Schizosaccharomyces pombe: one gene and its partners. The gene in region 2 interacts genetically with the main gene of each other region. Each region holds a gene or a part of one and is shown on either strand. Other genes may lie near its edges. The genes, in order: mbx2, gsf2, cbf11 and pvg1.

Evidence for each region.
Region 1: of gsf2 (region 2) and mbx2, changing one suppresses a phenotype caused by changing the other (phenotypic suppression), as found in Schizosaccharomyces pombe (2 studies listed by BioGRID).
Region 3: of gsf2 (region 2) and cbf11, changing one suppresses a phenotype caused by changing the other (phenotypic suppression), as found in Schizosaccharomyces pombe (one study listed by BioGRID).
Region 4: of gsf2 (region 2) and pvg1, changing one enhances a phenotype caused by changing the other (phenotypic enhancement), as found in Schizosaccharomyces pombe (one study listed by BioGRID).

The regions. Positions count from the first base shown.
Region 1 is NC_003423.3:3,623,322-3,630,243, reverse strand, and holds mbx2 (MADS-box transcription factor), read right to left. Parts: upstream 3,606-6,922; coding exon 2,487-3,605; 3' UTR 1,586-2,486; downstream 1-1,585. UniProt on the Schizosaccharomyces pombe protein: Acts in transcription regulation. May bind to a MEF2-like typee II promoter sequence.
Region 2 is NC_003421.2:958,677-968,870, forward strand, and holds gsf2 (protein Gsf2), read right to left. Parts: upstream 7,337-10,194; 5' UTR 5,297-7,336; coding exon 605-5,296; 3' UTR 523-604; downstream 1-522. UniProt on the Schizosaccharomyces pombe protein: Galactose-specific adhesion protein essential for non-sexual flocculation and filamentous growth. Required for adhesion and filamentous growth through recognition of galactose residues on cell surface glycoconjugates. Induces flocculation when overexpressed.
Region 3 is NC_003421.2:325,019-331,889, reverse strand, and holds cbf11 (DNA-binding transcription factor, CBF1/Su(H)/LAG-1 family Cbf11), read right to left. Parts: upstream 4,513-6,871; 5' UTR 4,349-4,512; coding exon 4,267-4,348; intron 4,189-4,266; coding exon 2,429-4,188; 3' UTR 2,142-2,428; coding exon of another isoform or gene 1,446-2,141; 3' UTR 1,158-1,445; downstream 1-1,157. Other genes in the region: tfx1 (translin family protein), read left to right, coding at 1,446-2,141; uri1 (prefoldin-like protein), read left to right, coding at 4,796-4,943, 5,018-6,871. UniProt on the Schizosaccharomyces pombe protein: Transcription factor that behaves as a negative regulator of adhesion. Recognizes specifically the canonical CSL response element GTGA/GGAA.
Region 4 is NC_003424.3:2,867,748-2,874,775, forward strand, and holds pvg1 (Golgi pyruvyl transferase Pvg1), read right to left. Parts: upstream 3,901-7,028; 5' UTR 3,828-3,900; intron 3,746-3,827; 5' UTR 3,579-3,745; coding exon 2,373-3,578; 3' UTR 1,897-2,372; downstream 1-1,896. Other genes in the region: nicotinamide N-methyltransferase Nnt1, read right to left, coding at 770-1,424, 1,518-1,630; SPOM_SPACUNK4.17 (NAD-binding dehydrogenase family protein), read right to left, coding at 5,285-6,505.

The DNA of each region.
Region 1 (6,922 bases), on a different chromosome or scaffold from region 2:
TTAAATCAAAAATTCGCTCCCTCGTTCTCTGTGCTAACCGTTCATAAGAAGTTCATCTTTTTCCTGCTATACCTATAAAGATTAGACGATGCTTATTCTCATGGATATCCGCAGCCCTTCCAAATCAGCATGCAAACATCCACTACCCTTACCATTCTTTTGAATCGCTTGCCTTTTAAACGAGTATTGAGATGGAATAATATTCTCTACATGCTCGCTTCTGCGTCCTGATATTTGAAATGATTTGTTGGATTATTCTGAGACTTCTTATTACAATTGGATACTTTAGAAGTATCCAATTAATTTGTTTTAGAAAAAGTGATAATCATTTGGGAGTTGTGCTATTATAAAAGAAAGAGATTCTTTGCTTAGTGTTGTGCTCTAAGCAAATTGAAAAAGCTGAAATGGCCAGGGGCTGCTAGTTTCTTGTATGCAGCAAAGTTGCACCACCTTATGCGAGATTTACTGACTTTCCGATCGGAATTTTTAGGAACACTTTGGTCTCGATTATCGCTATCTTTGTAACTGTCTAACAAACATTTCTGTTTTTTTAACAAGGTTGCGACAATTCTTTTTGCATTGGTTGCATTCCTGTTGACCAATGCATTTACTTTTTCGCGCAAAATCTAAATCCGAGTATTGTAAATTCACTTGCTAAGCCGTTGTCTATTGTTTTTATTCGCATTAAATTTGCAGTTTAATTGCCTTATATCCCTAATTTGCGTCTTTTAGTAAGACCCACGCCATTCTTTTTGCAATATTTTATTTTCTATTTTCGTTCCCATTAAATAATGTTAAACTGCCCTACGAAATTTCCAATTTGTTTTCCCAGCATCCAGATGCCTCTACTTAATACTTTTATCACCTTTCGTCAGTTGTTTTGTACCTGAAAGACATAGCCTTACGTTACTTGTGATCATCTTTTTGGTAATTATCCCACAGGGTAAAAAGTTTGCATAATTGTCGCTTTACGACAATTTATTACTTTTGTTTGTTCTGGAAGTCTTTATAATTGTTCTAAGTTAAGCCGGTGGTCGCAACAGACGTTTTAATTGGATAATGCGAGGTTTTATTCCCAAAATACAAACAGACTTGTCTGTCATAAAATAAGTTAAAATGATTTGTCAAATAGAGGATCAATTCTCAAATATTTGCCAAATCAGTCTCTAATTTATTTGAAGTGAGAAACTTGATTGCCTATGTCAGCATCCCACGATGGTCATTTTTGATACAGCGACTGAGTTTTATGCGGTTGATTCATGTTCCATCGTTTGCATAACATTGGTAATCTTTTATATCTTCTTCATCTTCTTATACTAAAGAATTTCATTTATTTGTTTGGATGTCCTAAGCCACGTATATAATAATATGTTACAGAAACTCAGGTTTCTGTTAACATAATTTCGCATGAAGCCAAATTCCTATTCCACCTTCTTTGAAGAGTGCTACCATGCTCATTCCGCCATATAAAATTAGCTGCTGCATTACTCCCCTGCATCTTACCTTTGAAGCTGGACGGTTATCGCTACGCTACACTTACACACCGACATACTAACAAACACTTAAACATTACTCTGTAAAACTACACGGAAAGTTCGAATTTCTCATGTTATTGTTGAAAACTGTAATTAGGGGTTTGAAAAAGGTTCTGTGAATCGTCAAACGTTCTTGATTAAAAAGGAGAAACCGTGAAAAATCTAGCAAAAAATCGAGTCAAACACACGAAAATAAACCATGTATAACCTTGAAAACGAATGAGAAACGTCTAATTAGAAATTAGCGGCTCCAAAAAAAAATTTGAATGCGAACATAAAGGTTGGTCCGCGAATGTTACATGTTGGTGAATTAATTAATGAAGTGGAAGGAGGTGGTTAAAACAAAATCACGAAAAAACTTAGTCCACTTGAATAGACAAAATGCGTGCCTGAATAAATAAGTGATAAACTGCCCGCAGTTTGCAAATAAATATTTAAACCGAAAATCACCATCTTGAATTCATAACAGGGAGGATCCAAAATACCGAAGATGGAAGTTAACAAAGTTAAACCATTGGCACATCTGAAATGTTCAGGTATTTGTATTTGCTAGCGTCTGAAATCATGCTAGGTTTGTAGTTCACATTGAATCCATAAGCTATCGGTAGGTGTCCATTTTATTGAACAACATTCCAAACTTCAATTATTGCTAGGTCAGTAATTTCGTTCGCGTAATTCAACTATAACGATAAATTGATAGACCTAGTATTAACAATTGTTTACTGGAATGCGATGTAAGTCAAATTAAAAAAATGGGCATCGCACAGCTTGGCAGTAAACTATTGGTGCTTGGATTGCTCCAAATCATATGCAGTTTGAGTAAGAAAACGATTGTAAGGATTTGATCGAGATGTATGCCAACTAAAATTATTACTTGTATACGATTCATTAGATCCAGGGAGGACACATGATGAAGACATTTGAAAGGGAGATTGACTTCTATGATATTCTTTAGTATTTGACATCACTGAGTGAATGTGGACTAATGGAAGCTACGTCTTGGAAGGATGATTCAGCTTCTTGATTCGTTAAGGAAGGAGAGCGATCATATGCCAAAAATGGAGTATTCGCAATGGTATGTTGAGAAGTCTCACAACTGCTACCCGAATACGCAGTAGGCGGAATAGGTGAGCCTTGTTTAACATCAAACATCTCAGGCGTTAGCTGTGGATTTGGATGTTCATAGAGAAAAGGAGGGCAAGCCGGGTTACCAGGAGAGACATTTTTTAAGGTGTATTGATTAGGTGAAGAAAGATAACTTGCTGGAGGCATAAGGACCTTCTGATCATAGGTGGACTGGTCTTGTTGCAGTACATGAGTACCCAGATAAGTTGGAACTTGTTTCAAAGAAGGAGACGTAGCTCTTTGTGGATAGTAGTAAGGAGCGAAGTGCGTTTGCCTACGATGACCAGGAAAGCCGTTATCACTAGGGTACGGAGAATGATGTTGCAATGGAACTGTAGCACCCGGAGACACAGGAGATTGGAAACAATAGGGCGGTGGATAGTTATTGTTATGAAAATGAGGATGAGGTGGATGATGAGGAGGACGAGTATGGGGATGATGATGTTGTGTGGGAGGAAATGGAGGACAAGAACGAACGTGATTAGACGATAAAGGCTCGGGACGACAGTAAGACTGAACTTGAGGATTATAGTCCTGAACAGTCGTTTCCGATGTTGCAGGAGAATCACCAGTGTCGAGTTGGGAGTCTGATAAAGGTTGGTCCTGTGACTTCAAATGCTTATTATTAAGAGGAGTAAATGAACCAGTTGTCGTTTCTGGAGACACGGTACTTGACTCTTCGACAGGCGATGACGAAAAATGAGAACGGTTTTTTAACTCATATATGCTGAGAGTGTTGAGTTGTTGAAGAGTACGTTGATAGTCAGAGGAACAAAAGACGTGCAAACGTCCTTTCCGATCAATGACTGTGACGGCGACTTCACAATCGGCTAGCACAGCGAGTTCATACGCCTTTTTGTAGAGACCTTGTTTTCGTTTGACAAAAGTTACGCTCCTTGAACGATCGTCGGTTATGGGTGCAATGGAGATTTTTTTGCGCCCCATATTAGACGTTGTATATATTTAGTAAGGTTTGACGAGAAAAGAGAAAAAGAGTCGACGAGGTTAACCAAAATTCAGGTATAGGGAGAATGACGAAAACAAACGAGCAAACGAGCGAGCAAACGGGCAAGTATATAAGGAACAAATAGAAAACAGCAGATGGGGTTTATTCTTGGAATTTATGTAACAGTTTTTATCCCTGTCTTCCCTTCTCTGCACCGGATCTCTTGAGGGTAGATTTTTCGCTTGAGAAAACAAGAGCGCAAAGTTCTCCAATTGTGCTCGTAATTGATAGTCGATTAGACGAATCTAAGTTGAGATTTAAAAACGAGGAAGCTATTTTTGTTTTTGTACTCTGGGTTGAAGCGGGCGACGAAACTAAAGATATTAATAGAAAAAATTTTTTTAGTAAACAAGATAGCCGGAACGGGTGGTTTTCAAGTGTTTACAAATGAGAGGAACAAAGACAAATTAAATGACTAGATGTTTTTGTGTGCTATTTTTAAAATAGAAAGAGGAAGAATCAACACTTTGGAGAAATTTTTGCCTTTGAAGCTATATTTTTAACAATTGTCCCCTCCTTTTCAATGTCAGGTTTAAAAATATCTTCTCGCCAAGTTTTATAAATAAATTAATCTGTCTCAACAACTTGAAATTATAAAATTAGGTATTTGTTTGTTGTCTGTGTGCGTTTATAAGTGCGTGTAAATACGTGTTTTTGTACATATATATGTGTATATATATACAGGGATAGCAATAACTAGGAAACCGCAACGTCTATTTAATGCAACCTTCGTAATACACACTGCGTTCTAACTTAGACAAGTATCGACGCCAGCATCGTAACATACCATTGTACATATTTATGCAAAAGAAAATAAATTCCAATAGTGAACGAAAAAAATTTTCTCTTTCCCTCCATAGGCAATTGTTAAGGGATAGGTTTTTCCTGCATAAGTACACCAAAATTAGGGGCTAAATGTCTTCCATTCACGTTTATCCGAAGATGCGTAGCACTTTGCCAACATTACCGATGAATTCTCAATATACAAACGCGTATAAGTGTACATTATGTTCCTCATGTAGACATTCTGAAAATTCACCGTTTCGGCTACTCGGGTAATTTAAACTATTTCTTCATCTCTCTTTTCGAAAAGGGGAGGTCACAAGGCCGAATACTTTTTCATGAAAAAGGTGGGATAGCCTCGATTAAATGAGCCCTAAGTAGGAAAATCCTTTAATTGGAGGAGGAAGATGGACATAATGGAAAGAAGGTTAGAAGGTACCTTTTGAGTATGGTTAAAGTCCACTTGGATTGCAAACCTGACTTTGCAGTAATAGTAGAAAAAAATAGAAAGAAAGCGGGATTAGCAATTATTAGGAAAGAATCATAGTAATCCCATGCACCTAATCCAAGGTTTTGGAAAGGGGATTTTATTTTTAGACGCGATAGTCAGGCAAAGCGTATGGGCCAGCCAAAATACTTGGCAAGGCTAAAGAAAGAATCGAAGAGATAGAAAGATACGAAAATTCGGAATGCGCTGATGATCGCGTTTAGGGATTTTCGTATGTAATCCTTCACTTTTCAACCAGTCAGTCAATTGGAAACGCTGACCCTATTACTGATGCAGTGTACGATACTCAATTCAAAGGGGAAAGGGGGAGGAGGGCGTGAAGGAACAATATTACGAGTGTTGTCTCCGCTCCTTGACTATACTTAGACACACAAGTCCGAAAATAGACTCGCTCTGATTTTGCTTTTCGTAACTTGCTCTATTAATAAATGTATCCGGTAAGAATGGGGTACAATACGAATACAGTACATTGGGAAAAAATAACCAGAGAGGTAGCTTATGAGTAATTTGATTTCGCAATGAATCGACCGTTACGACCTGCTTATACTTTAGTATAGCTAGACGAAGTAGTTTGGATTAGACTTTAGGAGTAGTCCTATCTGGCGACTGACATACTTTCGTTGCGATATAGTTTACGTGCGCAACCATTCGCGAGGAGGCTGAATATTGACTTGAGCCTCGTTATTGCTTATACCACTCATTCAAAGTCGTCTACACTCGTGCTAACACTGCATCCGCCTATCATTTTCAGCACTTGTTACGAAAAGGCAAACCATTCGATGTTTCTCATCTACCTCTCTACATGATTGCTTAGGAGTACGGGAAGGAATTGGGGGAAACTAGGGTTGAACGATGAACTTGACAAATTCTCATCATTTTTAATCGGTCGTTAAGTGTTACGATTGGGGCAACATGTTTTAAACTGTTAGTCAGTGAGTAGAGAGGAGAGTCAACGATGATGTGAATGCATGCCATGACTCATGGAAACAGTGAGAATTTTGGAAATCAAAAAACATCATCGCCACAATCCATCTCTGTCCGCCGTCCCTTTACCTTTGTTTTAATGGACAGCCTCAGTAGTGCTGACTCACGAAATTGACGTGTGCAGCGACTGCTTACCTTGTCCTTCCTTCCTTTCTTCCTCCTTACCTGGGGTATGCCGAATTAGCTTAATCAAGCTAGTGGGACATAAAGGACTTTGATTATGGACTTTTGCCGTATCGGTACTTGAAGCCCGTAAAAGGGCATCTGTCTCGGAACTTTCCGTGGCTCCATGTATAAGAAAACACACATTTGTTTATTTTGTGCACTATATGATGTTTGTCCATATATACCCGTGTAAGCGACAAATCGAATTATGCACAGCTTTGTCTTACATCTATTCGTACTACCCCGTATTACATACCCCGTCTTACATGGTCTACCAAAAGTATGGCTTTATCTCTTAACAGATTCTTTGTTTTCTGTCAGAAAACATTTTTTTTGTTGATATCTGAAAACAGTTTTAACGGAAAACATCATTATTTTTTCTTCGCATTATCGGCCCGTCTAAACATCGGTAGAACCGAGCTTCAAACCAAAACCCCCCATATTAAATGGAATGTGCAGAATACTCCCAGCTTCAAGACAAAATGACTAACGAAATTTTCGAATGTTAAGTACGGATTACTTTTTTTCGGCTAGCACGGGATACATGCAACTCTGGCTGACCTTAAATTCAGTTCTGTACCGTAGCGATAGCATACTACCGAATTAACTTCTTAATCTACGCTTTAGCGAACCCTTCGACGAACTGACCTCGTTAACCCATCCAAGACAGTCTATCTATTCCACCATTTTTAGGATTGCGCTTCTGTAAAGTGTTGAACTTAATCCAAATAAATACCATTTGTTTCAGCACGATTTCAGGATAAATGTGGGCAAACAGCTTAAGGTTTTTAGATTTAAGCTAATTTTTCCTGTTAG
Region 2 (10,194 bases):
TGCACCCTACTGTTCTTTACGGTACATCACTCTTATTGTTAGCTACGCAGTTCGGTATCTGTTTACCGATACATATTGACCCGCGGTGAGTTTCTCTTGCGATCTACAATATAACGGTAAAGCGGTATGCGGTATGTTCACTAGTATCTTAGTATATGACATATAGTGATACGCGGCGTAGTAAATTATATAGTGTAGTGCTATATTGCTGACGCACAATTCGCTTTACTGAATTTGTCTAAGCTGCACAATTTTTTTACTGTTCCCGCTACGCCGCCTTACCTTTGTAGTACATGTGACTAGACAAACTCGCTCTTTTATCACATCTCACTCTTTTACACTATGCGTTTTATCGTATTCCTTCATTATACACTATGCATGCTGTACTTTTTAATGCTACACTAAAAATACGCACACTTATTGCTTTGAATTCATTTACATTAACTTGTCACTCATTCACTATTTTTACATTAGCACCTTTTTTCTACTTATGCTGTTATTCTGAAAACAACAATAGAATATCTTTAAATGATAATTTGTTATTATAAGATAACTAGTTTAATTCCATTTATTCTAAAAACATTAACACCTCATGATCGTTTGTTTAAATTAGAGTAACAATATATACAAACAAAGAGACAAACGTCAAATAGGCAATTGGCTTATTAGCTCCAGCGGAGGATGGGTATAAGCCAGTAACGTTGGTGTTGTTACCGCCTGTGAAACCACCCGTCGTGTAGTAGGTATAGTTATAGGTAGCTGAACCGTTCCATTGACGAACGGTAGACCAAGTAGATGTACCAGATCCTTGATAAATAGGATTGCTAGTAACAGTACTGCTTTCAGGTGCTTCGGTAGAAGAAACAGTTTCGGTAGCAGGAGCTGAAGTGTAAACACTAGTAGTATAATAACTAGTGGTAACAACAGTGCTAGGCTCGTACTGGGTAGAGGAAGTAGTGTAAGTAAAAGCACTAGATTCTCCGGATACTCCAGTAGTCGTAGTAACATGAGTGACAGGATACACGGTTGAGCCAGGAACGACAGTGCTAACCACAGTAGAAGATACAATAGTAGTGTAATATCCACTTGAAGAAGTCTCAGTAACAGCAGTAGTAGGTTGAACCTCAGTAGCAGTAGTGACTTGAGTCTCAGTACCAGCAGTTCCAGTAGCACCAGTAGTAGTTTGAACCTCAGTGGCAGTAGTAGCTTGAGTCTCAGTAGCAGTAGTAGCTTGGGTTTCAGTACCAGTAGTGACTTGAGTCTCAGTACCAGCAGTGCCAGTAGCACCAGTAGTAGGTTGAACCTCGGTAGCAGTAGTGACTTGAGTCTCAGTACCAGCAGTTCCAGTAGCACCAGTAGTAGGTTGAACCTCAGTAGCAGTAGTAGCTTGAGTCTCGGTACCAGCAGTTCCAGTAGCACCAGTAGTAGTTTGAACCTCAGTGGCAGTAGTAGCTTGAGTCTCAGTAGCAGTAGTAGCTTGGGTTTCAGTACCAGTAGTGACTTGAGTCTCAGTACCAGCAGTGCCAGTAGCACCAGTAGTAGGTTGAACCTCGGTAGCAGTAGTGACTTGAGTCTCAGTACCAGCAGTTCCAGTAGCACCAGTAGTAGGTTGAACCTCAGTAGCAGTAGTAGCTTGAGTCTCGGTACCAGCAGTTCCAGTAGCACCAGTAGTAGTTTGAACCTCAGTGGCAGTAGTAGCTTGAGTCTCAGTAGCAGTAGTAGCTTGGGTTTCAGTACCAGTAGTGACTTGAGTCTCAGTACCAGCAGTGCCAGTAGCACCAGTAGTAGGTTGAACCTCGGTAGCAGTAGTGAGTTGAGTCTCAGTACCAGCAGTTCCAGTAGCACCAGTAGTGGGAAGGACCTCAGAACCAGTAGTTGTAGGAGTATTAATGACAACCGTAGTGGTTCCAGTAGCAGTTCCAGTAGGAGTAACTGTGACAGTAGATGTCTCGGTTCCAGTGTAACCAGTTGTAACAGTAACAATGTCGGTTTCAGTCGCAGTCACTGTGGTAGGTGTTTGAATAACAACTGTAGTGGTTCCAGTGGAGGTTCCAGTAGGAGTAACTGTGACAGTAGATGTCTCGGTTCCAGTGTAACCAGTTGTAACAGTAACAATGTCGGTTTCAGTCGCAGTCACTGTGGTAGGTGTTTGAATAACAACTGTAGTGGTTCCAGTGGAGGTTCCAGTAGGAGTAACTGTGACAGTAGATGTCTCGGTTCCAGTGTAACCAGTTGTAACAGTAACAATGTCGGTTTCAGTCGCAGTCACTGTGGTAGGTGTTTGAATAACAACTGTAGTGGTTCCAGTGGAGGTTCCAGTAGGAGTAACTGTGACAGTAGATGTCTCGGTTCCAGTGTAACCAGTTGTAACAGTAACAATGTCGGTTTCAGTCGCAGTCACTGTGGTAGGTGTTTGAATAACAACTGTAGTGGTTCCAGTGGAGGTTCCAGTAGGAGTAACTGTGACAGTAGATGTCTCGGTTCCAGTGTAACCAGTTGTAACAGTAACAATGTCGGTTTCAGTCGCAGTCACTGTGGTAGGTGTTTGAATAACAACTGTAGTGGTTCCAGTGGAGGTTCCAGTAGGAGTAACTGTGACAGTAGATGTCTCAGTTCCAGTGTAACCAGTTGTAACAGTAACAATGTCGGTTTCAGTTGCAGTCACTGTGGTAGGCGTTTGAATAACAACTGTAGTGGTTCCGGTAGAGGTTCCAGTAGGAGTAACTGTGACAGTAGATGTCTCAGTTCCAGTGTAACCAGTTGTAACAGTAACAATGTCGGTTTCAGTTGCAGTCACTGTGGTAGGCGTTTGAATAACAACTGTAGTGGTTCCAGTGGTTCCAGTAGGAATAACTGTAACAGTAGAAGTCTCAGTACCAGTATAACCAGTTGTCACAGTAGTAACGGTGCCAGTAACAATGGTTGTAGGAATGATATACGAAGAGTTTCCATAAGGAATCTCAACTGTGTTGGTAACAACAGGGCCAGAGGAACCGGTCAATGTAGTTGTAAGAGATCCGGAATATCCAATGGTAGTAGTGGTAGTAGTAGCCGAAACACTGGGAGTTTCGATATAAACTGTAGTGGGACCAGTCTCACTTCCACTGTGAGTAACAATAGAAGTAAGCGTGGTTGATCCAGTCCAGCCAGTCGTAATAGTAGTATAACCATAATTAACACTAGTAGTGGTAGGGACATCAACAGTTTCAGTAACAATGCTATTGCTACCGCTACCAGTCAAAGTAGTAGTTACCGAACCAGAATATCCAACAGTAGTGGTGGTAGTGACAGTTGTGGGATAAGGAGTCTCCACATAAACTGTAGTAGGTCCAGTCTCATTACCACTGTGAGGAACAGTAGTGGTAAGAGTAGTGGATCCAGTATAACCAGTGGTAACAGTGGTGTAACCATAGTTAGTAGTAGTGGGAACCTCAACAGTATCAATAACAGTACCATTGCTAGGAGCTCCAGTCAAAGTAGTAGTGACGGATCCAGGATATCCAACAGTAGTGGTGGTAGTGACAGTTGTGGGATAAGGAGTCTCCACATAAACTGTAGTAGGTCCAGTCTCATTACCACTGTGAGGAACAGTAGTGGTAAGAGTAGTGGATCCAGTATAACCAGTGGTAATAGTGGTGTAACCATAGTTAGTAGTAGTGGGAACCTCAACAGTATCAATAACAGTACCATTGCTAGGAGCTCCAGTCAAAGTAGTAGTGACGGATCCAGGATATCCAACAGTAGTGGTGGTAGTGACAGTTGTGGGATAAGGAGTCTCCACATAAACTGTAGTAGGTCCAGTCTCATTACCACTGTGAGGAACAGTAGTGGTAAGAGTAGTGGATCCAGTATAACCAGTGGTAATAGTGGTGTAACCATAGTTAGTAGTAGTGGGAATCTCAACAGTATCAATAACAGTACCATTGCTAGGAGCTCCAGTCAAAGTAGTAGTGACGGATCCAGGATATCCAACAGTAGTGGTGGTAGTGACAGTTGTGGGATAAGGAGTCTCCACATAAACTGTAGTAGGTCCAGTCTCATTACCACTGTGAGGAACAGTAGTGGTAAGAGTAGTGGATCCAGTATAACCAGTGGTAACAGTGGTGTAACCATAGTTAGTAGTAGTGGGAACCTCAACAGTATCAATAACAGTACCATTGCTAGGAGCTCCAGTCAAAGTAGTAGTGACGGATCCAGGATATCCAACAGTAGTGGTGGTAGTGACAGTTGTGGGATAAGGAGTCTCCACATAAACTGTAGTAGGTCCAGTCTCATTACCACTGTGAGGAACAGTAGTGGTAAGAGTAGTGGATCCAGTATAACCAGTGGTAACAGTGGTGTAACCATAGTTAGTAGTAGTGGGAACCTCAACAGTATCAATAACAGTACCATTGCTAGGAGCTCCAGTCAAAGTAGTAGTGACGGATCCAGGATATCCAACAGTAGTGGTGGTAGTGACAGTTGTGGGATAAGGAGTCTCCACATAAACTGTAGTAGGTCCAGTCTCATTACCACTGTGAGGAACAGTAGTGGTAAGAGTAGTGGATCCAGTATAACCAGTGGTAATAGTGGTGTAACCATAGTTAGTAGTAGTGGGAACCTCAACAGTATCAATAACAGTACCATTGCTAGGAGTTCCAGTCAAGGTAGTAGTGACGGATCCAGGATATCCAACAGTAGTTGTTGTGGTTGTGGTAGGGACTGTAACAATAAGAATTGTTGTTGGAGGGGGACAACTAGTACTTGTTGAACCAGATGTGGTTACAATTAAAACCGTTGCTGGGTTGCATGAGGTGCTAGTCGTATCAGCTACAAAAGTTGAGCTCGCTTCAACAGCATTTGAAACTTGTGAACCTGAAGTGGTAGTCGAATCAGGAAGAAAGGTAGATGGGCTTGCTTGAATTGCATAAGAAGCTTCTTTCCCTGAGGTAAAAGTGCTAATAGCAGTCATGGAAGCGTCGTTGCTAACGGGACTAGCAGTAATGTAGTTAGCATCATTTCCATTTTTTACTGTGAAGGTGCTAGTAAACATGCTAGGATCAACAGCAGCGTCTCTGCCAAGTAAGGTTGGCATATCGTCAACTAGGAAATTTGGATCCGCAAGCTCGGTCTTTGGAAGTGAAATATCGTGAGGCACTTCATTTTGTGATGCAGAGGAAAGGTAATCTTCAGGTTCCATTCCCTTTTGCAAAATCCTGACATTTCCAGAAGGTAGACCAGAAGTCAAGGAGGGAAGAAGAGCAGCCGTGAAAAGTAATGCCCGAGCAGATGTGGATAAAAACCTTCTAACAGACATTGTTGATATATTCAAAAACGGGTAAGTGAATTAGAAAAAAACAAAATTATTAAGATAATTTAACCAAACGAATAAAAAAATTAAATATTATCAAAAACAAAATTAAATCCAATGCTTGACGATTGGTGTGCAGAGCGCGTTTATTGATAATATGATAGAAATTCAATTAGAAAAATAGTGAATCCCAAATGAATAAAGCTCGTAGTTTCAACAGAGAATGAAGAAAAGAGGGTTTAAATGAATGCAAAATTGCGAAAAGATTAATGAAAGAAATAATATATATAAATAAAAAATAACTGGATGAAAGGAGATTCGCAAGCTGTATTACCAAACCAACCCAAACACGAAATTACCCAGTGTTTATTTTGTGTAAATGTAGGACAACTTAAAACCCAATTTCAACCCGAAATCCTAGACGATAGAATGGGGGATGTAAAGAAAAAAGGGGAGAATATTAAAAAATAAATGCTAGCCAGATTTATTTTAAATTATTCAAATGAATGTAAAATACCCACTTGTAATTCAAAAGAATGTAGAATATGTACAAGAGCAGATTTGTTTCTCAAAAAAAAAACAAAATTGGATGCTGGCGAAAAGAATGAGTGAAGATATTGTTATCACAGATTCGTGCAGCGAAGAGAGATCAAGTCGCTTTCCCAAAATAAAGATGGAAGGAAGGAAACAAATGATGATACAACAAAAAAAAGAAAGTTCCAATAACCAAACTCTAGCAACCTCAACAAAAAGAGAGAGACAGATGGTGTATATGGAATAGGTAATCCTTTTTTTTTGCAATGTTCGAATCTTTCTCGATGCTTTGCTTTTATAGAAGAAAGTCAACGATCTTAATCTCGTTAAGAATGTTTTGGATGTTCAATTGATGACTGATTGACGAACACTCGACCACTCGCCTTCAATGTAGGAGCGAAATAACTTTCTTAAGTAGATGCGGCCATATTTATAAATAACTACACCCAAACCAATCTGTGTGAAATTTTAGCAATGAATATTTACGGAATTTTTCCTTTGCGACTTTTTCTATACCCCTCTCTCTGTACCCCGATGACCCTTTTCTCAAATGTTCCCCGTTTTTGCAAGTTTTTCTTTTTTTAGAGAAACATTTTGAATTCGAATTTAAAAAATCGTTGTCACCTATGTGGAAGACCCCGCGATAACATAAAACCTCTTCGCAAATTCTAATTTCGGCTAGGGAATAATCTCTATCTCGGGAACATGGAGGTAAGGATCCACTTTTGCATTCTGTGCTGGTTCCTAAGAATATCGAGGTCGAGCGAAGAAGAAAATTTCGATATATGGAATAACGAGACCGAGTATGCTAAAGAAAGAGAAGAAAAGAAGGCTGATTACAGGAGTAGTGTAGAGGATGTAGCAAGCGCAATTTTAATTGCAATTAAGAAGCTAGTGAAACAAGAGATTAAGATTTAATTTGTGGAGATGACAGGAGAGAAATGAAAAAGTGCGACTATGAAGAATGATGAGTAAGTGAGTGGAAGTGTAGTAGAGATGGGGTTGTGGTAGCGAGAAAGGCGGTGTTTAGAAGGATGTAGTAGTAGTTCATGCAATGTCAATTCATTAGTTATGCAACGTCTAAGTCGTTAGATTTTCAATGTTTGCTTAGTGATCAAAGCATTTATAATTGAAATTTTTTAGTTCAATTTTAAGGTGGCAGCGTTCAGTTGCTATTTTTTCGCGTCTATTTGAATTGCGACGATTGTAAACGAAAAATAACCTTTCAATATTATGGATGGATGTCCATTCGCGCATTGGAAAGTTTCTACTGATTTGAATGACTTTTTACGCGTCCTTTTCCAATTTCTTTTCCTACAATTTTTGGCAATTGTTTTTGTTTTTTTTGTTATCACCACTATTGTTTCATCTTCTCCCTCCAACTAGCGTTCTCCTCGGATAAAAATACTTGCATTTACTTCTATATGTCCAATTCATAAAATTACAAGTATGTCAAACCTCTGCCGGCTTATAGTCCAGCTTGCCTTGGAGGCAGAATGCATGGCGGCGCTCACCAGGTGTTGTCAATCTGGTCCCGTAGAATGGTGGTAATTTTTGCAACTCTCATTACTCTACGCTAATTATATATACTGCATTCTTAAGTAATATAGTGAATCGGAATGAGTTTTTTTTTTTTTTTTTTTTTTTTTAAGCAAATTGGATCGGAAAAACAAGGACAAGAAATGAACGAAAGCCTTGATAATTACGAGAAAAATTACATAAAATATATGGAAATCTTTTTAGAATGAAATGAATTCTTTTGCTTCTTTTCCAAACGTCAAAGCCAACGTACTATATCCTTTTTGCTACTGTGTACATGCTACGCTCTACTTCACTAAACAGTCAGGTCAGTATGTACTATTTTCGGTCAGTGTGTACTTTTTGCTCTGGTTGTGATTAAAGCTAGTTTGGCTTAGCCATCATGGATGGTAAAGCCGGCAATGCCTAGGCACATGTTGAAATGGTTATTTTTATAGAACTAGCTATTTTGGATGAAAGTTTGAGAAGGAAACCCGAGAATATAGACTCACGAATAAAGAAACACTCATTAATTATTCGTTTAAAAGATATGAGAAGAAGTTAAAACAAGAACCTTTCTATTTTCATCCACCATTCACACAACAAATACTTTTTGTTTGTAAGCAGCTTCTTGTGTTTCTCGTCTATTTCTGTAAATAACCAACATCGGATAGCACACCCACTTTACTTTCTATTCTTAGTAGCCGTCGTTATTTATTTTTAGCAGTAACCCGCTCCTGCCGTACTAAACGGCATTCATAAACGGAATTAGTGCAGTGTAGTGTAGTGCATTCAGTGATCAAAGGGGATCTTATTTTCTTCGATTGTCTTCTAAGTTTCTCTATTTTTAGATGGACATTTTAAAAAAAGTCTTCTTCGTGTATTGTAGAATACCTTACCCCCAAAAATAAAAAAGAATAAAAAAAGAGAATCCTGAATCACACACACTCTCTCTCTTTCAAACATTTTTTTTTTCTGTGGAATTGTCAATTTATGTGCTGCGAAACTTTTCGCTAATTTCAACTTTACGACTCGTAAAATGCTTCGTTAAGCAAAAGGGGTAGGCTTATATACTATTAGTAAATAACCATCGGTCCGACAAGGCAAGAGGGCAATTTCGATTATGCATCCAATTTTCATAAACTGTAGAAGGGAAATTAGATAAAAAAGAGGTGGCTGAATCAGATGCTTTTCTTTTCTTTTTTTTTAATTCATTATTTGTTTTCACACAGTAAAGTTTTATGTGTACATACGAATTCACCAATATTCATACACTCGGGTTCCCATGGAAAACAAGGCAATCAAATTACGATAAAAAAATATATATATGTAAAGAAAAGAGCAATCGTTAATTGTTGTTGTTGTTGTTTTTTTTCGAAGAGAAGTCGTATTTGTTTCTTTTTTTTCTTAGACATTTTATTGTTCCTTACCTTTATTTGTTCTTCCATGCTTTCTTTATTTACATAGGGTCTCCGTTACTTGATGTTCTTTACCTCTTCCTCGTGCTGAAATTGAATGGAATACGTCATGATTTCGGTAAATCAACCCTTTAAATTTTCGGTAATCCTTGACCAATGTTTGTTTCTCAAATACAAAAACACTAAAGCTTATACGTCATGACATGATGTTATCTGTTCGTTGAGTGGAAGGATGATGTCAAACACATTGTCCAATTGCGGCTTTTAAATTTCGCTTCCTTGTTTATTTATGGCATCATATGAAGAAGGAGAACATTGTGACTCCATTCCGCTTCGTTATTCACCTTTTCAAAACAAGAGGTTTCTACGATTAGCGAGGTCGTCGTTAAGCATAATTAAAGAGAAGAAGATATACAAGATGGTAATTTGATTCTTTATTTCTATTTATATTTTATTTTTTACTTTGATACTTGTGTCCCACTTGTTAATTCTATTTCTATATTATTTTTTCCACTTTTTTAATTCTATTTCTGTTTTCTATTTTCTAATTTTCCGCTTGCTACTTTTACTTCTATTTACAAACTCTATGCCTATCGTGCGTGACTTTCTAAACAAGTCAAGGTTTTATCGTTTCATCTAATGTTTTATGGCATGTGGAAAGTTTGTTAACCTTCCCATAATTTTAATATGGTTTCATATTCAATTTCTCTTGTTTTCTCTTATTCTCTGTTGGAAAGGAAAAAAAGTGGTTGAGAGTATCATTTGTTTCTTTCTACTTTTCTCCCCTAACTATTGTGAATCTATCATCTTAATCTCTCCCCGCTTTACAATCATTCAATAAGGAAAGTATTAGGAAATGTTGCTGACTCCCACTTTCTCTTTCCCTCTCCCTCTCCCTTGCTCCAAGGGGATGGATGTTGAATGTTCAGAGACCGGTATTAAGGTGGAGTGCGTTGTCGTTATTCTCATGAATGATGGAGTTGGAGAAAAAACCGATTTTAAGAGGGAAGCGATGAAAGCTGGGGGTTGAAAAGGATTGGAGTGGAGTGGAGTGGAGTGGAATGAATTGAATTGAATTGGATTGGAAAGGAAATGAAATGTTTATGTTTATGTTTATGTTTAAAAGGATGATTTGGTTTTCAATTCAAAATTTCAAGCTGTCAGTCTTTTCTTTCTTTATAATCGCTTTTTTTTTTTGTTTTAGTTGTCATACTTTCTGTGTGTTTCTGTTTCCCGCCCACTTTCTATGACTCTTGTCGAATTGTCACACATTTCTTGCGTATACAGTTGGCTGGCTTTTTTCCTTCTCATTTCGTCTGTGAATTTTAGATAGGCAATTGAAAACATTCACAATGAACAAGGGATACTTAGCATTCTTTACAACAACCTTTTTCAACGTTTGTTTCTAGGGAAGCATATTTCTTCAACAAACCG
Region 3 (6,871 bases), 630 kb from region 2:
TTAAACTAATATGTTTAAGTTTTCCTTCTCTTCAGCTAAGGATCAATGGCAGAATTCCTTTTAAATCTCCCACTCCTTTCATAATAGTTTGTGAATTGAGATACTGCATATTTACACATCCCATTCATTAAAAAACATAGTCTTAATTCCCATTCCGCCAAAACATAAATCCTTTTGTTTTACTATTATTCGACTTGTGATTTACGAATAAATGTTTTTTTACACCTGAATTTATCCCGTCTCCTTTTGTCAACTCACAATATTCCATATGCTTAAAATTATACCCGCAGAAGCTTTTTTGGAATAGAAAAAATATTTGTGTTACTCTAGTAATGTAATGATAAACATGTTTAAAATACATAAGGAAAATCGTTTTATAAAATATATAATCGATGGAGATTGTATGCGACTTCTAAAGCATTGTGTAAATTAAATAAGGTTGATTAAGTACATAGGAAGTATTTACAAATGTATAATCTGTGAATGACAAGGATATGTATTTGTCAATACTGCATTTGAAAAATATATTATAAAACCATTATTAAGAATACAATTTATTTAGATCTATAATGACTATGGATAACAACTAGTCGCAATGGTGTAGTTGGGAGCATGACAGACTGAAGATCTGTTGGTCATCGGTTCGATCCCGGTTTGTGACACTTTTTATCAGCAATTACAGCTTTGTAAATAAAGCATTTAACACAATGAATTTTGTGCCAACGCTGAGTAGGAATAATATCTTTCTCTACATACTCTTTAACTGGGCAATCCTGGTAATGTATTTGAGTAATTAAGCAGTATTGAGTCTGTTTTCATCGGCATTGTTATTTAGTAAAATGATTGATTGATGAATGTACACTCTTTCGTTAATTGCAAGAATTTATGCTGTGATAAACAATCATTTGCGCCTTGGATTTTAAGTAGGCTAAGATTTATTTTAAATACTAATGATGTTGTAAATATAAAAAGGACGGGACTCTTTTTAAGAAATATAACTAAATAACACGTGGAAATGACAAAAAACTTGGGTAGTTATTTTCAGAATTGTTCAAGCAAAGCTCAAATTTCTTTCTTTATATATTTATTATTTTCACATGTTCAAGATTTTATTGTCAGAAGCAAATGGCTTTAGTCCACAGTAAATTTAAATAACCAAAAAAATTCATTATTCCTATTAACCGATCTTTATTAACAATATTTTCTCTTCATTCCATACATGGTCGATTGTCCTGCTGCAGCTCAAATCACTATTTCAATTTCATAGCACAGAGCCAACTAACCTTACTCAATGATCCACTAAACAATATTTCGTCTCTTAAACAACAAATAGTCATCTTGATTTGCATTTAATTCAATTGATAATATAGACTTATACATTTATACCTTCCACACGGCTTTGCTGAATTGAGGATATTATAAAACTTTAACCGAATTTGCCAAATATGGAAGAGGAATTCCTCTCATTTAAAAATTTTTTACAGGAGGATCAAGATAAGAGGGAGAAAATTATTCGTCTTTCTCGTGAAATCACAATTCAAAGTAAACGAATGATCTTTCTTTTACATCAAACATCCTCTTCTGATGGATTTCCTCTACCCAAGGATTTCGACAGAACATCCATTTTTGAAAAAAAAATTCACAAAGAACTAGAAAGTCTGAAGAGAGAGTTGGCTGGATTAAATGCAGACAAGTTCTCTTCTGCTTGTACACACGGCCTTCAAGAGTATGTTGAAGCTGTCACTTTCAAATTCTGGTTACAAACAGGTACGTTACTTTCTTGTAAAGATAGTAGCTTTAGAATTTCTATTAATTTCATCGACTATGTACTCGGTGTTTGTGACATGACTGGTGAAATAATGAGATTCCTTGTAACCAACGGCTCTAAGTTCTCTGTCCAACAACTCACTCAGCAAGTTAAATTTCTTCGTGGACTACACAAAAACTGCTCAGAAATTGAACACTTACCATCTAAGGTCAAGTCAGAATTACAGCAGAAATTATCAGTAATGGAGAACAGCATTTCAAAAGTTGAAGGAATTTGCTATAGTAAAATTTTAAGAGAAGCAGATAAAAGATATTTAAATTTGGAAGTGGATACAGCAACTCCTCCCGAGGAGAAACGATTACGGTCCACATAATATATGATCGACAGCTCTCGACAGACACCTTACTAGTTTATTAAAAGTTTTTCTGTTTTGCAGCTTTTGAAAATCATAATTATTAAGTACATATTTTCGACGATTCAATTATCTTATCAAAAGCTTCCGCTGCTTTCTATATGTTAGAGTTTCCATAAGCTAGGATGTTTGTACAATATAAAGTTCATTTAATAAGAGAGATTTCAACCTAATTCCATCATTTTGAAAACAAATTGTATTTCAATATTTCGCCATATGAAACCACACGTAAAATTAATCATGATGCATCAGTTTCCAAAAGCACTTGACGTTAGCAAAATCTCGCATTTTCCAATAATGACAATCCCACCTGGAATCACGAACAACAAAGGATACTTTTGTTCTGCACAAGAAGGATCATATGAAATTTGCGACAGACCTAGAGTGACCGTACCCATTGTACTCGTATCAGCAGCTGCGGTAAAACTATACGACAATGGTCCATGAACACCTAGCCAAATTTGTAATCCGACCGAATAGCCTCCAATTTTAAATTGTAATGAGCGCGAGCTCTCCAAATATTCGGGTGGCTCTTCAATATATGGATAATCAGTAACCGTTGGTACAGGATTTTGATTGAATGGTAACATCATCGTACAGTCAAAATGTGATATGCCCACTATAGTCCAGCATACAGAATCTCCAACTCGAGTCATTTCATTTGAACTCAAGTTTCCAACAGCTTCCCATTCTATGGGCAATATAGCCTCACTAGATGCATTTCTGTTTTGTGCCGACGTGGCCCCAAGAAACCAACGGACTGAAATATTATTGGAATATGCCAGTGAACTATGCTCAGCGATCTTAAGATGCCGTACGTTTGATATGGGATATGCGCTTTCTAATACAATTCTATGCATTTGATTAACGTAACCGTCCTCCTCAGCAATGTGGTCTTTTTCTACTCGTCGAATAATTAAAGGGTCACTCGTCGTTCCTGTTGCTTCATCGACCAATTCAACGATGGAGCCATATTTAATGGGTTCTGGGTTATCGACATCGTCGCATACCTTCAGTTTACCATTTTCATCTGGTAATAGCAGGTTAATACGCAATGGCACCCATCTATCACCGCGAAGACAAAACTGACCAGCCTCAATCGATGTATACTTTGTACGTACAGTTTGTGAATTAATCCGGTTATAAAGGCTGACGACTGAACCGGATCGCAACGTAATATTACTAATTTTTAGTTTGCTTCCTTTTTTCGAAGGTTTGGAGACAATACTAATAGAAGAAGTAACCAAATGAGATAACAATTGGTTATTTACATTCGAGAACATGTCCAGAGAAAGCCGTAAGTTTTTAGATTTCGCAGCGACCAAACTCGATATATGCAGTGACCGAAAAATCATACATCCTTGGCCAGTGTATTCTTCGCTGATGGGTTGCGAACATTGCCCAAAATCATTCATTATTGATATCTCAGTGCGAAAAGACTGATTGAATATAGAAGAGTAATTCCCATTAATATAAACCATAGGGGGTGGACATAGGTAACGTTTCTCTGACCCATAAGACTTTTGTATGACAGAGGAATGTCGACACGAAACTGTTACCAGCTGACTAGGTTTCCCTGAACGTGTAAGTGAAATTTTGTGCACACTGTCCTCATTCAAATTAGCAATGCCAATACAACAATTGTTCAGTAAATCCAAATGATCTGATATGGCTCTTCGGATCATCTCTACAGAACTGTCTTCATCAAAGGTTTTTCTTTTTCTATTAAACCCAGGAGGAGAAGGAGCAGGAATTATGTTTTGGGCCAGCTCGTCCAACGAATTAGACGCCTTTGCTACAGCAGGAAAAATTGACTGTTCATCCTTAACTACAGAAGGGAATTCCTCTGATTTTTCCAAAGTAGCCAAAGCTGAGTTTACAGCACTGAAGAGAGACAAAACCTGCATGGAAACACTTCCAGGACTCCCGCTTCCAACTCTTTCAGAATTTTCATTCCTTCCTCCAGCTCCATCCTCCTGATTATGCAAACCATTATTTATGTTGTCCACTAGAAAAATCCGTTAGCTATTTTACGCTTGGGATGTTCAGAATGATTTATAACTCAACCATCATTGCTAGCGCTTACAGTTCAACTGATTTAAATTTAAGGAGCCAGAAGTATTACTCCCAGAGATATTTGCAAAATCCCAGGCAAAATAGTCCCCCATTAATGTTCAAATTATGTTTTATACTTGCTTAAACTGTTGGACCTATAGGATTAAGACATGCATTTGCTTTTACTTAAATTATTTTCAGTGAGAAAATATTAAAATTTAAAGTAAGGGACCAAATTACTAGATGCTTAGGACATTTGCAGTATGGCGCTTTCTACGTACATTAGGGTCAGGTCGGTGGCTTCCTACTCAGTTTGAGCCATTTCCATTAACATCGATTTTTCGATATTATATTAGTTACCCTGTTATTTAAATACTAAAAGTATTTAAAATTTATTAGAATTACTTATTATCTCGTTTTTAAAGTGAATATTAGCTTGCCCGAATAAGCTGTATATGCCTTTTTCCGGAATAACCACGAAACGATCGTTGGCGTGAGATTATTTTGAATTAGAAATTCTTCAATAACTCTATTTAAGATCCTTTAAAACAACTTATCGAATGAACGACGAAAGACTAGTAGCCATCAATTTTGAACAGCAAATCTTCTCTAAGATTAGCGAAATTTCTGAATCAGTCGGTAGGGCGATCCGTTACTGTAAGGAAGATGGAAAAGTTGAAGGATGTGAAACAGCATCCCATGTGGATTGTACGTTACTTTTTCTTATAAATTGAGTGATAATGTTTGCTTCATCAAACGACTAATTGCTAATGAAAATCCAGTCTTAAATCATATTCATTTACTTTTGGGAAATTACAATAATGACTTAGCATCTTCAATTGAAAAGAAGAAATCCGAGTTGATAGTAAGAAACTCAGAAGGGTTACCTGTTATGGATATTCATGAAGAAGTTGATAAAGATGGAAATATTATAAGTGCTTCTGTTGCTCCACAAAGAATTTCATCTGTAATAGATTATGCGGATGTCTTTCGATCCCTTCCTGGTTTCAAAAATATTGAAAATGGGGGGAACCGTGATACATCTTCGAGAATTGAAGAGCTATCTGAAGAAGAAATTAACGATTCTACGAAAAATATTAACTACAAAGCTCCAGAAATGGGCTCATTACCTTCTAATACTGAATTTACTTCAACTCCAACACTTGGTGTCTCAGAATTTCCCAGCAAACATGGTGATCATTCAGACAGTAAAACATATGAGAGTCCTATTAGTAATAGTCAGGCTGCTTCATTGAGTGATTCAGATATGGTTCAACAAATTAAAAATGGTAGCAAGACTTCTTTGTTTAAAAAGGGTTTTCTTTTCAAAAAAAATAATGCAATGCAAAACAGAACTACTTCAAATATAAAGTCAAACGCTTCTGCTATTGAAAAAAATAAAGAAACGATATTGAATGCTCTCAATAACTCTACTTTAAATGAAAATGGACATCAAGATACCCAAAATGAAGTTTTACGAGACATTGTGTTAGAGCATCCGACAGCGAAGGCCCAAGATACTGGGGAATCTAATAAAGATAATAACACTAGCACGTCTAAACATAAAAAACGACCTAAGCGTCTTTCAAAATTTAAACAAGCTAAGCTAGAAACAAAAAAATCTGGCAACAAAGATCATGCTACATCTAGTGAAAAGCTTTCACTAGGAAATGAATCTATTCATTCTATAAACGAAACTAGAAGTAGTAGTATAGAAGAACCAGATAATGCCGACAATAAAATTGTCGAAGAAGAACCGATGTTACTACCAGTTCCGACGACTGCGCAAGGACAAAATGTTTTGGAAGCAGTACAATACGACGGTTTAGACTCTTTAGAAGATATGGAGGCTCTCATTCAGGAAATGGAGGAGGAAGGCGAATTAGATGATAATTCTGAGTCTGAGGAAGATGAACATGGTATGACGATAGGATTTTCCAAGGAACTGAAAGCTCCACCGGATCCTCAATATTTTACAGAAAAGACTGGTGCTACAACTTATGTCAATGGTAATGACGAGAGCCTAAATGTCAGTGACTTTCCACAAATCGTTGAACAAGAAGAGCTTTCGTCAAAAAATCCTCGAAAGGTACATTTTTCAGACACGCTGGAAATTAAACACGTCAGTCGGAGTGGAAAGGCGAATATTGAAGTTATACCTGCTCCAACTGAAGAATACGATAATCTTTTTGGACCAGACGATTTTCAGAGTCGTATTTCAGCGTTTCGTAAAGCAAGGAGCAAATTGCGCGCAAAGGAAAACGAAGAGGGCAACCATTCTAATGCCACATGTACAATCAAGAACGATGATTTGAGTAACACATTAAATAATCGGGCTGCGAATACAAAGTTAAATCCAAAAGAAGAAGACAAATCTACTGTAGAATCCGAGCTTAAAGCACCGCCTAAAGAAAAAAGCTCGGAAACTTCCAAGGAATATTTAAATGAACCATCTGTAGTAAAAGATTTTGTAGTTGAACGAACTCCATCTGACAAAATTAGCGAGTCTAAAGAAGCATTCGATGCGAAAGTCGAGGAAATTAGTGATCAACGAGCTATATCACAACGTTACTACGAACTGAGAAAAAAAATGATAGATAATACAGGTGAATATATTAAGGATGAAGAAGAACAGG
Region 4 (7,028 bases), on a different chromosome or scaffold from region 2:
AAGAAATAAACTTACCAAAACAATCGGTACAAAACTAATTTCGAATAAACGGGTAGATGATGGTGAATGGTGTAAGTGGACTGACTATATATGCGAACACTAGAATCATTGTGATAGAGGGATCAAACCTACAAAAGCTATTTTTTTCTAAAAACGTTGTAAAAATGACTGTATTACATTAAGTCGACTGTTAACTAAGTTGTCTCTGAAAAAGCCAACTTCCATAGTATCTGACCGCTAAAAGGAAATTTCAAGTAAACAAAACCGGTACAATGAAAAGAAACAAATTTTGATTACACCGAAAAGTGTGATTAGGATAGAAAATCTGATCATTTTTAATATATTTTTCGAAAATTTATGACGACAACCTAAGACAAACATGAAAATACAAAAATATTTAAGATATAAAGCGGAAAAAGAAAAGGAAGTAAAACGCCCTTGAAAGCAAAAAAATTGATTTTTATTCAGTATTTGACAAGCAAGGCAATGAAACCCAGCTAAACCAATAATCCATTCGCGAATATTCACAAAAGTTGAAAAAAAAAGCGAAAACAAATATCAACATACCAATTGCTACTTTTTTGAAACCCAAACAATTGGCAAAGGGTATTTGAATGATGACAATAGTTTTAAAAGATGACCCCAATTTGTAACGAAAGAAGCGTATGCTCAAAAGAGGGATTTATTTTTTTTTTTGCTCAGATAGAACCTTAAATCTTTCCAAGTGATGAATATGTTATTTTTTACTGAGCGCTTGCAAATTTGCAGCCTAAACCGGGATAGGAATAGTCATTTTATACCCGTGAACCGTAGCACGTATTTCAGGAGCGCCAGGGTCCTCTTCAAACATAGGGGTTCTTTTTTCTTCTAAAATCTTTTCAATCTGAAAACCCTCACTTTGAGCGATGTCGAAGAAGATCATATCTTTTTTAGCCAGATGTGGACGGTGATGGGTAAAGAAAACGTAGACTACAGCGTTTGGATTACCTTCAATAGCCATTTTGCAAGATTTTATCAGCTTTGAATGCTCAGTATGGTTGAAAACTAAATCAGAAAGCAGTAAAATATCAAACACCTCATTGTCTTTAAAACCAGCATTCGACATGACTTCTTTTATGTTAGAACCCCAGAGATATCCCACTGCAGAAATTTTACTGGCTATTTCAGCATATTGCTTAACATTATGCTCAAGGTTATCGATTAAAGCAGGATCAGGGTAATCAGTCGAAACTACAAATTTTGCTCCGTCAAAAGCAGAAACAATGGAAGGAAGACCAGCTCCAGCTCCAAGTTCAAGTACCTTTTTTGCACGTACAGTGTCAGGGTTTTTGTCAATATAGTTGGCTAATTCAATGCCGCTGTTCCAGAGATAATGTGCCCATAATGAATGACTCCCTACCAATCGCAACTTGATTTCTTCTGGTCTATTATACATAACGATGTTAATATACTAACCTCTATATATTGTTTATAAAAAAAAGCTATCTGTCTAGCCTGTGAGTGGTTTTAAATCATACCCATTCGGCACTATAACTCGTGTGTGTAAAACTTCTTTAGGAGGAGGAGTAGAAGGTCGAAACCCTTCAGGTTCTTCAAAAATTCCAAATCCCTCGAAATCATTATCGGCCATGATTCCTGAACTTCTTTTTTGAGGATATTAGAATTCGTGCTAAAGTAAGGTGGTAAGGTAATTAAAAAAGCAAATTCAATTAGCGATGAAGTTTAATAATTCTCTTGTGGGGAACCAAAATAAAACGTTGAGGAAATGAAATGGTTTCAGTATTCGGTGAATACTCAATTACTTTCGGTTCACATTCAAGGACGAAGTATTTTGTCTAATACCAACACAAGCAAAGTTGTACAAAAAAAATATTCAACATTATGGTAACTTAATTAAGTAAACTTTAATAAAATGAAAATAAATTTATTTCTCTCTGAATAATTTCTGGGTAAATAGAGAGCGTATTAAAATAAGTATAAGAACCAAGTTTACTCAGCTCAATAGATAAGTAAAAAAATAACTGTAAAATAAAACAAATAGCTAATAAAACAAAGTAAATTTAGCAAGTAAAATTGGAAAAAAAAGTTGAGAACCCTATTCCACCATTTGCATTCTTTATGCACGGTCGGTTTAAAAACAAGCTGATCGTGCAAGCATAGATAACGTACAGCCAGGCTATAGAGAAAACAAATAATTATAAAATAGAAAGCCTAAAAGAAGAGGCAAGTGATTGGTAAATCCATTGACCTATTTCCATTTAGACTTTTAGTTTGCTGATTGATAGATAAGCTCCTTTTGCGAAATAAAAGGAGGAACAAATGAGAATTAATAAGAGTTAAAAATGCTAAAGAATTATATTTCATGATGCGAATTAAAAGTAGCCGGCCTCATTCCACTCGAGAAGCAAAGACAAAGCCTTGTCAACGGAATCAACGACTACACTGACACCATCCAATGTGCAACCATGTAGCCAGGTATTATGATAGTTAGTAATTTTTCCCATTTGGGAGTTTTCAACGACGATATGAGGAATACCCATTAAAGTGCTAAGGATGTGAGCATGGAGACGATCAGTAATGACGACGCGAGCAGAGGCAAGGAATTCCGCACCAGCTTCGTAACGAGCTTGGCCTCTATCATCAAAGGAAGAATCGGGATTTTGAGCAACAGGAGGATCCCACAAGAGCCAATCCTCAACGCTGTAGGTCAAGTTAGCGGCATTCAAAGTATCGCGATAATAGTCTTCAGCACCATGTTGCTGACCACCCTCGTGATCGAGACGAGCAAGAATCAACACATCATGAGTGATGGGAGTAGCCTCGCGAATCTCAGGGATGGGGCCCATGAAGAAGACGATATCGGGGGTAAGAAGAACTTCATTATGCTTGCCAAAAGCATCAACGGCAAAACCATAGCTTTGCCTATCACGAGTGACCAAAGTGATATTAGGATTTTCGGCATACAAAATAGAGGCCTGTTCGAGAAGTTGTTGTTCATTATACCAGACAGATTGAGGGAAGGATATGGTGGTGAAGGAAGGGAAATCTCGCACGACAAGTTCACGTAAATGCTGATGGTCAGGATATAAATCGCCAAAGTTACCACCGCCGTGGAAAGCAAGTGCGAACTCATCTCTGGGGATATCAGAGATGATCGACTTCAACTCAGAAGCAGAGTAGTCAGCCTCTTGAGCAGTAATGTAGACAACCTCAATATTCAAAGCATCCAAAAGCTTTTTCTCAGCAACATAGATTGCACTATCACCCTTGTTGGGGTGGTCAGGAAACCCAATGAGCGCAACCTTCTTGATGCCTGCAAAGTAATGCTTGTAATAAGTGAAGAGTAAGTTGGATTGCAGAGTGATGGTGGATTCACAGGAAGCACTATTTCTGGGTGATTTGGTGAAAAGGGGCTTTTTCTTGTCAACCGAAGTAGACGAGGAAGGAGAAGTTAGACTACTAGGGTTCTTCAAAGTTTGCAAGTCGGTGCGTGTCACGCCGTAGATAAACAGCGTGCAAGACACGGCAGCAAGGAGAAAAAGCCACACGGACTTTCGAATATTAATGTTTGCGAACATTTTGAGTTGAGAAAAAAAAAGAAAGGAAGAAAAACGATAGAATAAAAGAACGACACACGTCTATCGTCGTAAAAATTTTTAATGACAGGAGAAATTAAATTCGATAATCCCGGAACAATAATTAGCGAGGTGTGAGTATTAAGTTGGATAGGATAATGATTATCAAACTAAATTTAGAAAAAAAAAAATTAGCATTTGATCGACAAAAAATTTCAATGTAGTCAAATTACACCAAATAATAACACTTACCAATTATTTAACCAAGTGTATTATAAATTAGGAGAAGGAATCTTCGCAGCACCGTTTGGTGTAGTGTTTGGTTAAAGGCAACCTCTAAATGCTAGGACGCAAAGGGTAATTTCGAATACCGTGTGCTATCACCAAACTTTTCAATTCGTAAAGCCGAGCTAGTATGACTCTAGAAGTAATTTACACCACACTTTCTTCTTTTACTGGTGGCCGGGCTTCAATTTTGACATTTTTATTTCACGTTACAGCTTACATCTAATTGCGATTTTCCGAGGCGTTTGCGTTTCCGATGATCAGATCTGATAGAAGGTGAAAAACTTTCCATCCCAACGATAATAGAGGAGGTTAACGCACATAGACTCTTTACGTTATATTCTCATATCAAATATGAAATTTTTTATGAGAATATGTAAAGTCTTTGCTCCTTTCTCAATGTTTACAAAAATAATTTTATCGAGAGATTTTTCAATAAATTACCTGGATAGAATATTCATTGTTAGGTGCACCCCGGAAGGCTTTTGCCGAAAACTCCGCCTCAAGTTATACGCCCCGTCATCTTTTAAACTCAGACAATGTCCACTCCGACCATAAAGTTTGCTGTTTACATGTCAGCTAAGAAAATGGTAGGAGCGCCTTTGTTGGGCTCGTAAGTGTCAATTGTAAACAATGACCAGACAATAAACAAAGAAAGAGTCTCTTTTACAATCATAAGTACGTGCCTGAATGCTTTGTTTTCTCTACTGTGTTGGGTACTTGTTTACAATTTGGCATGGCAGGTTGAGCTTGCAATTTGCAGGGGTTAAAGCAAACCATGCCTGCGTACAAAGGTGGTAGGCATATCAACCTGTGTTGGGATACGGTGAGGAGCACAGTAGTGGGAAGGAGAAAAATTCTCAAAGCAAAATCATGCCCTGAGTATGAAAATTGCTGAGAAAGTTGTTGTTGTTTGATTTTGGAGATATGGTAGACGCAAATTACGCTTGCTATTACTAGAATTAACTAGCCTGTACTTATTGAATGATCAAGATTACTTTGACACTTTGTGTTTACAACATGTTTGTTAGCTTTTTTGCTACTAAATTAATTTGGCTAAAAACAAAATGTTCCACTTTGAAATCTTTTCCCTCGATACTTATTTATTTGTTGATCACTCTTGTTTACATCCGTATTTCCTACATACACTTTAATTCCCTTCCCGCATAATCTATGCAAACAAAAAAAAAATTATTTATTCATTCTAATCCGCGTTCTGCGGCACCCATTGTAATAAAATCATAATCAACATTATACCAAATCATCATGGGTATCTTTTCAAGGCATGACTAAACTATTTAGAGTATCCATATACCATACATATTTCCTTAAACAAACAAACATTTTATATGCAAAATTGACATAAACTTGATTTCTTTTTCTCTTGCAAACTTGGAAATCACCGTCCCAAAAAAATAAAACACCTACTTGGCTTCAGTGATGGCCTTGGTAAGCTCATAGGTCTTGACGGCATCCAAAAAGTCGGAATGGATAAGGTTCTTGTCACCCTTACCTTCAGCAGCATCCAAGAAGATCTTGAACTCACTGTAGTATGGGTCATCATTGGGGTATTTGTAAACCTTTTCTTCGTCCGAATCAGGAGAGCGAACATACAAGACGGGCTCTTCATAAAGATCAACGATACGAAGGTAGTAACCATCAGCCTGAACTTCAATGCAAGTATCATACTTGGCACCTTGAAGAGTAATGTTGTGAGTAAAAGCACCAACACCACCGTCCTTGTACTTCCATGAGGCAGCGGTAAAGCGGGGAATACGCTCCTCTGGAGGAATTGTCTTCTCATCAACTGGCATAGCATTTAATTTGCCGCTAGGGTCATCCCACTCAACACGGTTGACCTTGATACTATCAATCTCAACATCACCACCAAAGTAGCGAGAGAGATCACAAAAGTGGGTACCTTGCTCGACGACTGGACCACCAGACTCAGACATGATCCACCAGAACTTCTTCGAGTTGTGAATGTAGGCAGAGTTGTACTTGGCTACAGTACTGACAACCTTCAAGTTCTTTTCCTTGATTATCTCCTTGGCCTTTTGAACTGTCTTCAAATAACGAAGCATGTAGCCGACAGAGATAACGGATTCAGAGGGCAAACGACGGGCGACAGCAAAAGCATCCTCGACGGGAGCGGCAGAAATTGGTTTTTCGATGAAAAGAGAGGCATCAGGGAATCGCTTGAGGATGGCCAATTCCAAATCGGCTCCCTTTTGGGTAGAGCCATGGGTCTCAGGAGGAATGCCAATAATGTAGGCATCGGGCTTCTCCTCGGGGTGGCTGTCTAAGTATTCGAGGTATTCATCGGCAGAATAAAATTCACGAGTGTTGGCATAAGAAGAGGCGTACTCAGTCTCAGCCTTTTGCTTAAGGACACGTTCGTGGGAACTCTTGTGAGGGGACAAGAGAGCAACAACTTGTAAACGATGACCAAGAACGAGTTCAAGCTTTTGGGAATTATTCCAAGGACCCTCAGCAGTACCAAAATTAATACCACCGCATCCAAAGATAGCGCACTTAAAAGGAGGGCCAGTGGGTTCGGGAGCGGATTGTGGAAGATGGGAAGAAATTTCGTCCTTGACGTTTTGGTAGGTTTTGTAAGCTTCGTCTTTAATGTTTTGCATCATGATATAGAAATTTTAGAATAGAGAAGTTTTGTTTCGTTGAAGAAAATGGAGAGTTGAAAAAAAAAAGATTAAAATATTTGTAAATGTGAAAAATCGTAATCGTCAAAAATATACAATCAAACGCAGCCTTTTAAATTGTAGCAAAAAAAAAGCTTTTAATAAAAGGACGAGACAAATTGTAAGTCGTATATAAATATATAAAAAAGAGAAAATCTAGCAAAAATACAATAAATAAATTGTAGTGGGATTTGCCAAGTTTTTAAAAGAGAAAAGTGTTTTTTTTTGTTACACTGTAAATAGAATAGAATTCACAAGCTGGAGAAAAGTGGTTTGAAGAAGAGGAAAAGCACCTCTATTTATAATATTTGAAGAAGTCATTCATTTCATTTGTTTCAACAATTTTACATATTCATTTGTTTACGTATGTTGGAATTTGGTAGCCGGTATAGCATCATTAGCGGTATTTGAAGGCAGCGTCATGGCTGTTTTAATTACATTGTATGACAAAATTTGCTTTACGAGG